Linked DNA regions of Rattus norvegicus. The protein of the gene in region 3 interacts with the protein of the main gene of each other region in a biochemical or structural test. Links are inferred from orthologs where the notes say so. Each region holds a gene or a part of one and is shown on either strand. Other genes may lie near its edges. The genes, in order: Zfyve9, Ski and Smad2.

Region 1 (3,578 bases), on a different chromosome or scaffold from region 3:
TGCGCGCACAAATACAAATAAGTATTAAAAAATTGTGTTCCTAACAGAATTTGGAGAGAGCTAAGGAATATTAAATTATTCATATATCTTTAATAAGAATAAAGATCTATAGCCTTTAAATATTTGCATTAAAGTCATATAGGAGAAAATATGTGTATGTATTTATAAAAACCTTCAGAACATTTGGTACATGAAAAACTCTATGTAAAAACAAGTACAGGATCAGGCTTGTGAGATGGCTCAGCAGTTAAGAGCACTCACTGATCCTGCAGAGGAGATGGGGTCAATTCTCAGTACCCACATGGTGGCTCACAATCATTTATAACTCTAGTTCCAAGGGACTGAATGCCTCCCTCTGAGCTCTGTGGACACCAGGCAAAACAAGGTGCACATACACACTTACATGAAGGTAGAACATTCATTAAAAATAACCATATCTTTTAAAAAAAAGAGTGTAGGATAAATTTTGACTGTAAGTTAATGTTTAATTATAAAATATCATAAAATCAACCACTGACCACAGGGATTGTAATGTCTGTAATCATTACACTAAGTAAACAGTAGGAGAACTGATGCAAGTTTGAGGATAGCTTGGTCTCTACAAAGGGACCTCCAGATCAGTCACGGCTATATGGCCATACCCTTTTTCAAAAATATAAAAACAACAACAAAAATAGAGAACAACAACAAAAAAGTAAATCACAAATATGTCCTAAGTTGAAAGAACAACATCCTTATTTCAAACCATCCCATTAATCATGTATCTACAAACAGCTACAAATGTAAAGACCACAGAGTAAACACTTCCTTAATTCTCAATTCTCTTTTCTTCACAGAAAACTGAGACAGCATACTTTCTGACAGCAATTAAAAAAAAAAAAAAGACACCCACAATCAGCTCATATTTTATACAGATACTAAGACTGGGCTTTCAAAGGCTTTTTATAAGGTCATCTCAAACTAGAAGTACAGTCACCTAATCCTGCTTTAATTTTTGGTTCATCATTACAAAACACGGCAAGTTCCTGAACTGATAAATGCAATTTACCTTCCCACATGCTCTGCAATGATGCCTCCTTTTGGTGAATGTAAACCGAGCTTCACACTTCATGCAGTTCGGAGCCTGGGAGTCTGGTACCCATACTGGTGCCACCTCACCCAGGGTGGTAAATGGCTTTCTTGCAGAAATTCCAAATTGACCAGCTCTGAGATCATTATCTGGACTATCTGGAGATAATGCAAGGCATGGTCTACTGGAGATGTCAGCCTCGAAACTTTCTAAATGTTCCCCATTTGTATCAGTCACAGAGATGTTTCCCAAAGTTGCACTGCACGCACTGACTGCTGAGTTTTCCCCTAGTTTTGCTTTCCCAAGAATATCATTTTTGTTTTTACTATTATTTCCATTGTTTGCAGGAAGGTCATTTTGTAAATGGTCTGATAATGGCTTTGGAATCTGAAGTTTAAGATTAGAAGGTTGCTTGGGTCTTGCACCACCAAAAGGAACACTAATAGACTGCAGGTTTGCTATCTTGGGGGAAGATTGCCCGAGTACAGATGGGATTTGACTACAGAAATTATGTAAATAATTTTTCTTCATTATAGTTCCAGTGCTGTTTAAAAGCAGTCCATTCCCTTCTGTGTTCTCATTTCCTCTCTGTTCATAAAGATTTGAGTAGCATTCTGATTTGCTCTCTTCTATTTCTTTTTCTTCTGTTACTGAATCTTCTTTGGAGGGTAAAGTCTTTGGAACAAAAGATACAATTGGGCTCTGCATTCCATAGGAATCACAACTATTAGACAGAGAATTTGCTGCTGGTGCATCACTAACAGTGGAGAAATCATATCCTTCACTTTCATTCAAGCAAGTTCCTTTGAAATCTAGATCTGAATCTGCCATTCTAACACACTCTCCTGCACTCTGAGGGTCCTCAGGTTGGCTGATCTGTAAAACCACTTGATTTTCTTCACTTCCTTGGCGATCATCCACCTCATTTAGCTTTGCTGAGTCCCAGTGAGTCGTCTGAGAGTCCTTACCTCCATCTCCATCAGTTCTAGTCTCACTAGACACAAGGCAGTCTGAGGATGGTTCGCAATTGTCCCTTCCACATAAAGCAGGAGTATCTGGCTTGAGATTCAAAGATAAACCAGATGGGAGGGGGTCTTCAGCTGTCCTCTCCTCTGCTGGCTCTGTTTTTGTTAAGAGCTCCTCCCTTGAGTGGGAAAAGGAGTTTGAGCTCCCTAGATCTGTCCTAGAAGAGCTGTTTGCGCCAGAAAGGTCCTCATCAGGCATATAATCCTCTTGTTTTTTAATGGCAGGCCCTCCATCCATTCCCTGGGATGTATTAATTGCTAAGCTTGTAGCTGTAGATGTAGATGGGTCTCTACCTACATTTTCATTGTCCTTTAATTGTGAAGAGGAAGAGATACTGGTTGCACTGTTAGCTGAAGCAGCGCAGAGATGATTAAGAGAATCCCTCTCTGATTTTGGTTTATTCAAAGCATCCATTTGTTTCTCTGAGTTTATACCTTTTTCTGCGGACCCATTCATACTAAAACTAAATTGATCAGTTTGTCTAGTTTCATTATCCAGTGAACAGCTAAAAGAATCCATGAGGGATTGACTATTATAGTTATTACAATCCTGCAAATCACTTTGCAGTGTCCTTTTATCACAGTTATGCATGACAGCTACAACCAGAACATTCTTCTCGTCTGGCAGACAAGTGAGGCTCCCACGTTTCTCCTCTCCCACTTCAACGGCACTAAATTGATCATCCTGATTGTAGTTTCTCTTAATTAGTTGGTCTTCTGCCACAGCATTTTCATCAATCCACATCGTGTCAATCTCTGGATTTAGACTACCGTCCTGTCCGTTAGCACAGGGACCTTTTCCCTCCCTTGTAAGGGGAGCTGAGCCAGCAAGAGAAAAGATTTTCCGCTGTGGTCCTGTCTCATTAGAAATTGTAGGTTCATTCACATTGGCTAATGCAGGGTTAAAAGACAATGGATGAGAAGAGGAATCTAAAATCTTATTCCACTTTGTATCCAATAAAGTAGGAGAAACTGTTTCATCTGAAGGGGAAAAAAAAAAAAAGTAATTACAGTAAGTTTGCTGGTAACAGTAAAAAGCTACTTAGGGTTACCTGACAGATATTTCCAACTATGCTTTGGAGAAAATGTCCCCAGAATATGACAGTATCTAATCTTTAGCTAGACATAAGAAAAAAACATTTAAGACAATGCCCTATAATTATCTGTCAACAAATGATAATGCCTCAGAACATTTCAAATAACATAGTTGGGCAGTGGTTGTGCACGCCTTTAACCTCAGCACTCAGGAGGCAGAGGCAGGGGGATCTCTGTGAGCTCCAGGACAGTCAGGGCTACATAGAGAAATCCTGTCTTAAAAAACAAACAAATGGGGTTGGGGATTTAGCTCAGTGGTAGAGCGCTTGCCTAGCAACCACAAGGCCCTGGGTTCGGTCCCCAGCTCCGAAAAAAAGAAGAAAAAGAAAAAAAAAACAAAAACAAACAAACAACAAATGAATTTTATGTCAATTTAATTGTGTTATTAG
Region 2 (4,179 bases), on a different chromosome or scaffold from region 3:
CCCTCTGCAGCCCCCAGAGAATGAGGCGACCATCCTTCTTCAGAGCCCCTCCCCCCACAACTCTGACACTCTGCTGGAGGGGCGCCCAGAGAAAACCGGGCTGCAGCATCTATTCACAGATTTAGAAAAAAAAAAAGTTTGATGCAATAGCTGAATTAATTAGGTCTCCCAAGAATAGCTGAGCCAATGCAACATTCTGTGTGTGCAATTTAATAAGCCTGGATATTTAAAAGTTAAAGACACTTAGGATGCATATGCAAAGAAACTTCCTGTGGACTCCAGTGAATGATTTAGGTACCAAGTGGCCCAGGAAATGCCCAGGCAGATCTCACAAAGCTTTCTTTGACTCACATACAACACAGCCTGGGCTGACAGGCCTCCACACCGAGCAAGAAGAGCAACAGAAGGAAATGGGTGAGTCCAAGTAAACTGCAGACCATCAGCAACTCCCGCAGGCCAGGCCACTGACCACGACAAAGTAGCCTCGGCCGAGCACAACTCGGGGGTTGCAAGTGCCAGGTCTCTGCCAAGACAACTGGCTTGCTTCACTTTAGCTGTCCCTGCCCCACGATTTAAAGACAAAACCGGAGAGGCAGTAAATATGTATGGATAGTCAGCTGAGGCTCACAGGAAGGCATCCCTCCCGGTCATCAGTCAGAGAGAAAGGGGGCAAACTTCATTCTCATGGGGACATCTCTGCCAAGGTCCCATGGAGATATGGGCCAGAAAGTCACAGCCTCTAGAGTCCAGGTACTCTAACCTCCCAGAGCTTAAGGTGGCCTCTTTCTCAGACCTTCAGAGCTTACTTAACCTGTACGGTCGAGGACTATGAGCCCTCAGAGGGCTTTCCCGTTCACTCTACTCCATAGGTGCAGCTCAACAGACAGCACGAAGGTGGCCTCATGGCCTTTCCCACAAGAAACTGATGAGACCCCTACTTTCCGAAATCAAAACAACCCAAAGCCAGATAAGGTCGAACCATGAGCCCCAAGCCTTTACAACCCACAGTCCCCAGAGCAGAAGGACCCCACCCACCCACCCACCTTGGGCATAGCTTGCCAACTCCCAAGACCCGGAGACACTTACCCGGGGCACCCTCCGCTTGTACTTGTTGGCATAGTCGAACTTCTCCTTCACGTCGTCCAGGCAGCGGCCAAGGCGGGCCTGCTCCTCCTTGCCCGTGTAGTCCTGGCTCAGCAGGATGTAGGCCCGCCAGTTGGCTGAGTCGAAGCCCCAGTGGCAGGTCCGGTTCTCCAGGGCCTTGTGCGAGTGTACAACGAACTTGTGCGGCGGGTACATGAGGCGGCAGTCGAGGCACTGGATGCAGGCGGCGCTAGGACTGCTGTACAGCTCGGGCACCAGCAGCCCTTTGCACTTGCCGAAGCACTCGTGGTACACGCGGACGCTGCGTTCGCTGAGCTCCAGGCCCAGCGCCAGGCTGGCCGCCAACTCCTTCTTGCAAGGCGGCGGGTAGGCGCCGCCGTAGAGCAGCGCGTTGCACAGGCGCTCCGCGTCCGTCTTGGTGATGAGACCGCAGGAGGGCGCGGAGAAGGGCAGGATGCCCATGACTTTGAGGATCTCCAGCTGGTCGGCGGTGCAGCGCGAGCAGTAGATGTGCAGCTCATCGCACACCGAGTTGATCTGCTGCAGTGAGAAGTCGCGCAGCACCGAGTTGAGGATCTGCGGCAGGCACAGACGCTTCTCGCCTCCCACCACGAAACAAGAGATGGTTTCCCCTTCCAGCACGGTCTCACAGCGCTCGGTGGAGCGGTCCGACGGCATGAAGAAGGGCCCGGGAAGCACGGGCGGCGGCGGCTGGATGGCAGGCAGGTGCAGCACGGGCGGCGGCTCCGCGGCAGTGGGCACCGGCGCCGGCACTGTGGCCGCACCCGCCTCCTTGGCGCTCTCCTTCTTGTAGGCCTCCTGCGCCCAGCGCGCCGAGAAAGCGGCCGGGCCGCCCAGCGAGCTCATGGAGCTCAGGTGGAACTGCTCCAGCGTCTTCTGCAGCCCCGGGTGCGGCTGGAAGCCGCCCCGGCCGGCCGCTGCAGCTTCCATGGTGCGATCGGGCTCCCCCGGCCGCTCCCGCTCCCGTGCGCCCGGGCCCCCACGGCCTCCGCCGCCGCCCCGCGCACCCCGCCGCCGCCCGCGACCGCGGCCACGACCGCCCCCCGTCGCCGGCTCACGGCCGATCACGGCCCCGGCCTCGGCCTCTCCCGGGGGCGCGAAGGCGAAGGCGGGCGGGGCGAAGGGGTCCCGCCGCTGGAGCCCGCCGCCGCCCGGGCCCGGCGCCACATCCACGCGCCCCGCGCCGCGCCCGCCGCCGCCCGGGCCCCCCGCGCGCCCCCCGCGCGCCCCCCGGGCTCTAGGCGCCGGGCATGCCCCGGCGCGCGCCGCCAACGCCAACGCCAACGCTCGCGGGCCCGGGGCTCGCGGGGGGCGCGCGGGCAGGTGCCGGCGCCGCGAGGCGCGAATCGCCGCGGCAGCCGAGGCCGAGGGGCCCGGGAGGAGCGGGGGCGCGGGCGCGGGGCCCGCCGGGCCGTCCTCGCGCGGCGCGCCGCCGCTGCCCCGCTCCTCCCACCGCGCGGCGCCCGCTCGGCTCGTCCCGGCGGTGCTGACCGGCCGCGTCGCGCCCGCCGCCGGCCCCTGGCGGCCTGCCCGCCCGCGCGGCCGCCTGCCGGCTCCCGGCCGTCCGCTGGCCCGCGCGCGCGGCTCCCGGACGGCGGAGGCGCCTCTGGCCCGCGGCCTCAGAGCGCCGCGGCGGCGCGGGGTTTTGCGCGCTCAGCGCACATCTTTCCGGCGGCTCGCTCCGGCTCGGACTGAGCGCCCGGAGCTGAGCTCACGCCGCCGCGCGCCGCCCCGCCCCGTACCGCCCCGCCCCGCCCGCGCCAGCCCCGCCTCCCGCGTTGTTTGTTGCTGTGCGTCCGCCTCAGCCGGAGTGCGGGCCAGGAATGTGACCAGCTCTGGGCAGGCTCTTCCAAGAACGCGCGCTCCCCCTCCCGGGCTCAGTGGCATTCGGCTACGCCCGGACCGAACTCGGCCAAGCTCGGCTTTGTCCGCCCACAGGTCGACTCCGCTCGGGTTCCCCGTCCCGTAGCTCGGCCCCTCTCGGCACTGCTCGGCCCTGCTCGGCCCTACTCGGTCCGGGCTCGGCCCCGCTCGGCCCTACTCGGTCCTACTCGGCCCCGCCTTGTGGAGGCCACTGGAGGCGGCCACAGCGGAGGCGCCTGGGGCCCCCCTTCCGGCCGAGGCCGCTTCCTGCGCGGCTGGGAAGACTCCGGTCCTGCTGCCACCACGGTCTTGGGGGCCCCCCGAAACCCACAAGGCCCCCGCCACAACCACAGGCCAGCTGAGTGGCGGTCCGCAGCAGATCTCCGCTGCCGCCCTTCATCCCGGGGTCCCCATTCTACGGAGACACTCCGAAGTAACCTTCACTCCCCCCACTGCTGGAAGTCATGCTCCACGAGACATTCGTAACAAGGACACCATAGAACAAAACCCAGGTTCCCTCCCTCATAGCAAGGATGCCACAAAACATTCGGGTTCTGATACAAGAACGTCTCGAGGCACCCTACGGTCTCCACACACCCCTGTCTCCATATGATAGGGGGAACACAACGCGCATCCCAGGTTACATAAAGGACACCACAGAACACTCACGCCAGGTTACTCTATGATGAGAAGATGGCACAAAACCCCATATGCCTACACAACCAGAACCTCACAAAGAACCACCCAAGGTCTCCATTGCAGAAGGACTGCACAAAGTACTTCTGGGTTTCCATGTGTAGAGAGAATACCACTTGATATACAGAATTCTGCACCCAAGAACGACACAGGATTTGCAGAACCTAGGAGCTCACAGCATGACATGGGGATGCTGAGATGCATAAGAAATACAGCTGTGGCACTTGCCTAGCAAGTGCAAGGCCCTGGGTTCGGTCCCCAGCTCCGAAAAAAAAGAAAAGAAAAAGAAAGAAAGAAAGAAAGAAAAACAGCTGTGGAAAGCAGGCTACATGGACTACCCCATGAACTGTGATCCAGTCTCTCACCAGTGACATAGGTACCAGCAACATCTGTCTACTGGACCCTGTTGAGTGAGGTGGGAACTTTGGAACGGAATCCTGCCTTGAAGAAGCTGTACCTAGTAGCTATTGACCCTTCTTGAGCCAGCCATTAACC
Region 3 (4,275 bases):
CCCCACCCCAACCTGGACATCGGACATCGTTCTTAGTGTCATAGGAGCTAACACAGCCCATCCGTCCCTCCTAGTGCCGTCCTTTACACCTGACAGAGAGCAATGCAAATAGCTTCAGGAAGTGGCTCTGGATGAATTATGAGTGCTCAAGCTCAGCTTATGCTCTGACATAATTAACCTCCTTACTTTGGGGCCTTTGGCCAGAAGACACAGGATTTTTATTTTCCTAATTCCACTGAGAAGTGTTGTGACTAGCCACAGAAAGTTTATTGTGTAAGTACGTATTACTTGTCCAATAAAGTGATACTGAATTCTTTATAGTCAGTTTCTGATACACCTTTGCAATACTTAGTAGAAAACTTCTTTGCACTCACAGAAACCAAGGGCCTAAAAATGTCTCTTCTGCTTTTACCCAGACAAAGCATCTAAAAAGATATGCCTCTCTCCACCCTCTAAAAAGGATTCTTGTCCCAAGAATATGAATAAACCTCCATCTGCCAGACTACACTATATACAGCTCCTGCATGCATTACAAAAGCACCTGGATAAAAAGGCTGCTGCAAACGTGGTTTCTGGAGTCCAAAGTATTCAGCCAACAGCATCCAAACCAAGCACGAAGGGAAACGGTTAGGCCCACAAGTCAAATCTAAAAACCCAAAAGGTCCTTAAGCACCAGTTCATGCAGCTAAACTACTTACGTTTGCCTGTGTGTTCACTCAGCCTCCCTAATGATAGTACTGACTACTGCAGCATCATCCTATATGTATACACAAAGGAAAGGGCTATACAGAAAACCATCCCCAACAGTCCTAATATGAGTTAAACCACACAACCAAGCCCAACGGGAAGTTACTCTGCAGTTTCTCCCAACACTGACTTTATGAGCCACACAGGGTGCATAGCTATTTACTGACAAGTACCTCAGAACCCCAAAGACCAAATTTTGCAGAACACTCTCAATATGAAATCACTTCAGGTGTACCTACAAAATTGCAACCAACAGTATTAGAGTAGTGTCTTGCTAAGGAACACAAGGAGGTTTATAATCCTAGTCCAGTGATTAAGCCTGGCCAGGGAGGACCCTAAACGTAGGTAAGTCAACTATTTTGTAACATTAAGCATGTACCTGGGCACTCAGTTTAAAAATGTCCTAAGACCACAACAAATTCTCTTACCTCCACAGGTAAGTTTATGCCAAAATAATTTTTAAAAATAACATCGATGTTACTTTATGAATTCAACATAAACATTTGCTAAATGACCTAATGAATTAGAAAAAAATCTCTTTATGACTAAATGGGAGAGGGATAAAAACCTTAAAACTATAATACATTTTGCTTCTCTCATGTCTGGATTCCATCTGCTTCACTAACTCATGGATTGAAACTATTCCAACTTCGTTTTAACTACTTAACACTTCTTTGTAAAGGGGGAAATTGCTTTTTACAGGAACCAAAGTAAACTAATAGGAAAGATATTCCCAGCATGGCAGCAAATGTATTTGTGTTAGGCTCAAGAGAAAAATCCTTTCTATTAGCGGTATGGGGTTAAGTCATGGAATTAGAAATAAGAGATTTTGGAAACTGACATTCCAGGGTGCCATTTTTGTAAAGATAACCTTCAGGTTACATTTATTTACATATGTCATTTCATTAGTTAAGAACACCGCCGTTTAGAATTCCCCAACAAGGCATAACAATAAGGTGGAATGCTGCTGAACTATTTCACATGTTTTGTTTTGTTTTTAAATTGGTGTGACAACAAACAGGTAGCGTTTGCCTTTAAGTGTAAAAGAAATGAATAACAAAACCAACCTCGATTTTTATTTTTCTTTTGTTTAGATTCACAAGGAAACCCTAACCTGCAAGGGTAAGAGGACAAAAGTACCTGGGGCCCAAGGACAGTATTCCTAGAAGAAAATAATCCAAGCACCGACTGTGAAAACCAAGTCTGAAATAAGTGCACTCAATTAGCATGCTTCCTAAAGGCGTGTGATTAGAAACTAATAGGCAGTACCCACGGAGCAACTTTCCCAAGTGCGTGGAGGATGAGCCCGGCAGCCTCAGCCACGAGCGTGTTTCTGAGTGCACACTATGATTCGGAACCCACGACTGTTACGGTTAACAAAGGCCACAGGAAAGAAGAAAAAAAAAAAAAAAAGGAAAAAGTAGAAGCAAAGTACCACACGCCCCTAACTCGGCTCCGGAGCCATTCTGCAACGCAAAGCGAGAGCGGCCGCGAGCCGGGACAGAAGCGGGCCGCAGCCAGGCTGGGCGGGGCGGGGGCTCGGGGCCCTGCCCACGGCGCCGACCCCGGCCCGCGCGCCACGGCCCGCCACACCCCACACGGGCAGCCACGTGACCCGGCCCCGCACACCCCTGCCCGGTCCCCCGGGCGCCCCGGCTTTACCTGCACCCAGCGCCTGGTCCCGGCCCGTCCGAGCCGGGCCCCGGACCTTTTGTTCCTTCCTCTTCCGACGGGCTCCGCGCTGCCGGAGGAGTGGGCGCGCGCAGGCGGAACTGCGCCGCGGGCCCCCGCCCCGCCCCCAGGCCCGCGCTCACCGCGGCCGGCTGGGGAGGGAGCCGCCTGCTCCACTCGGCGCGGCCCCGCGGCCCGGCACTGCCTGCACCCCGCGCCGCCGCCGCCCTCCGCCCCGGCCGCCGCGCACCTACCTTCGGGCGGCTCGCTCAGCGCTCGCGAGCTGCAGGCGAGCGAGCTGCTCCTCCACCGCCGCGCGCGGTAGCCCCGCCTCCCTCCCCGAGCCGCGGGCCCCGCCGATTCGCCGGCGCAGCCCCGGGCTGGCACCCTGCCGCCCGCTGATTGGCGCCCGCGGCCGCCCGTTAGGCGTGAGGCACGCCGGCCGAGCGGGCGCGCACGGAAGACGGAGGGAGCACGGCAGGGACGGAAGGAGGCCGGGCGCCGCGGGCAGGGCCGGGGGCCGAGCGGGGCGCGGGCAGGCGCGGGCCGCCGCCTCCCGCCTCCGGCCCGACCGGCGGCACGCGCAACCAATCAGCGAACGGGGAGCCCGGGGTGTGAGCACCGCGTCGGGGGCCTGGAATCGGAAGGGAAACGTCGCTCGCTGATTGGTTCCGCCTTCCCCGTCGAGCGTGAGGCGAGGCGAGGCCGGGTTGGGTGGCACGCCCGCGGTTGCGCTTGAGTTCGTGTCCGGCGCGCTCCCACCGGGCTCCGGGAGGATCGCGGAAGGCCGCGCAGCGTGCCACGCCCGCAGACCCCCGCCCTGGCGCCTCTGGGTGGAGCGCCGCGGCTAAGCCCTCGCCCACCTCCGTCGTGAGGCCGGAATGGACACGTGCTCGGGCCTGGGCCCGCCCCCAGCCGGGTCTGAGTCGCTGGACTGGCAAAGCTCTGGAGAAGCCAGGGTGCTGGCCGCTGAGGGGCGCGCCCTATGCAAATAAGTGGGCGGGGCCGCGCCCTGGGGGCGGGTGGCGAAAACTGCGGAGCTAGGGTTCTTGTCCGTGGGGTTGGTGTTAGGGCTGGGCCCCTCCTTGGGTGTGTTTCTCCAACCCGAGCCGTAGGTTCTTCTGAAGTAGAACTATTAGTGATAGCTGGTTCGAATGCTCATTGTGAAGCATGAGCAACTATGAGTGCTCCTTGATTTGCTGGCTTCTCCCTAGCTCATGTCCCTAACTGTGCCCCTGTTCCTAGACCCGTACTTCTCACCAAGTTCCCAAATTTAGGACTACCCGCAGTTTGATTTTGACTCAACCCTGGCAGATGAAAGACTGTGTTAGGATAATAAACCTAAATTTGAAATGCCTCTTTCAGGTTGCTAGTGGTAAAGAAAATACCAGAACGCAGTTTGCTTGGCTGTTGGTCATGCCCATCTATACTTAGCTACCTCTTCATAGGATTCCTGGGAGAGGCAAGTTAGTCCAGCAAGCCTCATGAGCACGACAGAGGAGTGCAGGAGTAACAACACAGTGTGCGAAGCAGTTAGGAGTGGAGCATGCTCTCTCCTCAGATGTGAGGGCATCCAGAGCAGGGGCCTTTATGTGGTCCTTGAGTTGTTTGCCCTTCCCTCCAGACTTAACAGGTTTTTAGATAGGCTTTCAAAATCTCCACCACTCTTCTCATGGGAAAGATGTAGCTCGCCCCAGATGCAAGCCAGTCATAGTTTCAAATGCAGCTCTACTCCAAATCCAAAGCCTTTGCCATCATAATACCAACTCACATGTTATAAATGAAAACTTAAATGTTATAGATGTCATCGTTATTAAAGAAATCATGAATGCAAACATGAACAGGACTTTGAAATTA

The links.
Region 1: the proteins of Smad2 (region 3) and Zfyve9 are reported together in a solved structure, tested with the Homo sapiens proteins (2 studies listed by BioGRID and IntAct, with this or other methods). The link is inferred for Rattus norvegicus from reciprocal best matches to the Homo sapiens genes SMAD2 and ZFYVE9.
Region 2: the proteins of Smad2 (region 3) and Ski form a complex in vitro, tested with the Homo sapiens proteins (4 studies listed by BioGRID). The link is inferred for Rattus norvegicus from reciprocal best matches to the Homo sapiens genes SMAD2 and SKI.

What each region holds. Positions count from the first base shown.
Region 1 is NC_086023.1:128,692,348-128,695,925, forward strand, and holds part of Zfyve9 (zinc finger FYVE domain-containing protein 9), read right to left. Parts: intron 3,076-3,578; coding exon 1,049-3,075; intron 1-1,048. UniProt on the Homo sapiens protein: Early endosomal protein that functions to recruit SMAD2/SMAD3 to intracellular membranes and to the TGF-beta receptor.
Region 2 is NC_086023.1:171,062,140-171,066,318, forward strand, and holds the start of Ski (ski oncogene), read right to left. Parts: upstream 2,819-4,179; 5' UTR 2,056-2,818; coding exon 1,087-2,055; intron 1,009-1,086; exon of another isoform or gene 34-1,008; coding exon of another isoform or gene 1-33. UniProt on the Homo sapiens protein: May play a role in terminal differentiation of skeletal muscle cells but not in the determination of cells to the myogenic lineage. Functions as a repressor of TGF-beta signaling.
Region 3 is NC_086036.1:72,123,898-72,128,172, reverse strand, and holds the start of Smad2 (mothers against decapentaplegic homolog 2), read right to left. Parts: upstream 2,830-4,275; 5' UTR 2,673-2,829; intron 2,595-2,672; exon of another isoform or gene 2,410-2,594; intron 1-2,409. UniProt on the Homo sapiens protein: Receptor-regulated SMAD (R-SMAD) that is an intracellular signal transducer and transcriptional modulator activated by TGF-beta (transforming growth factor) and activin type 1 receptor kinases.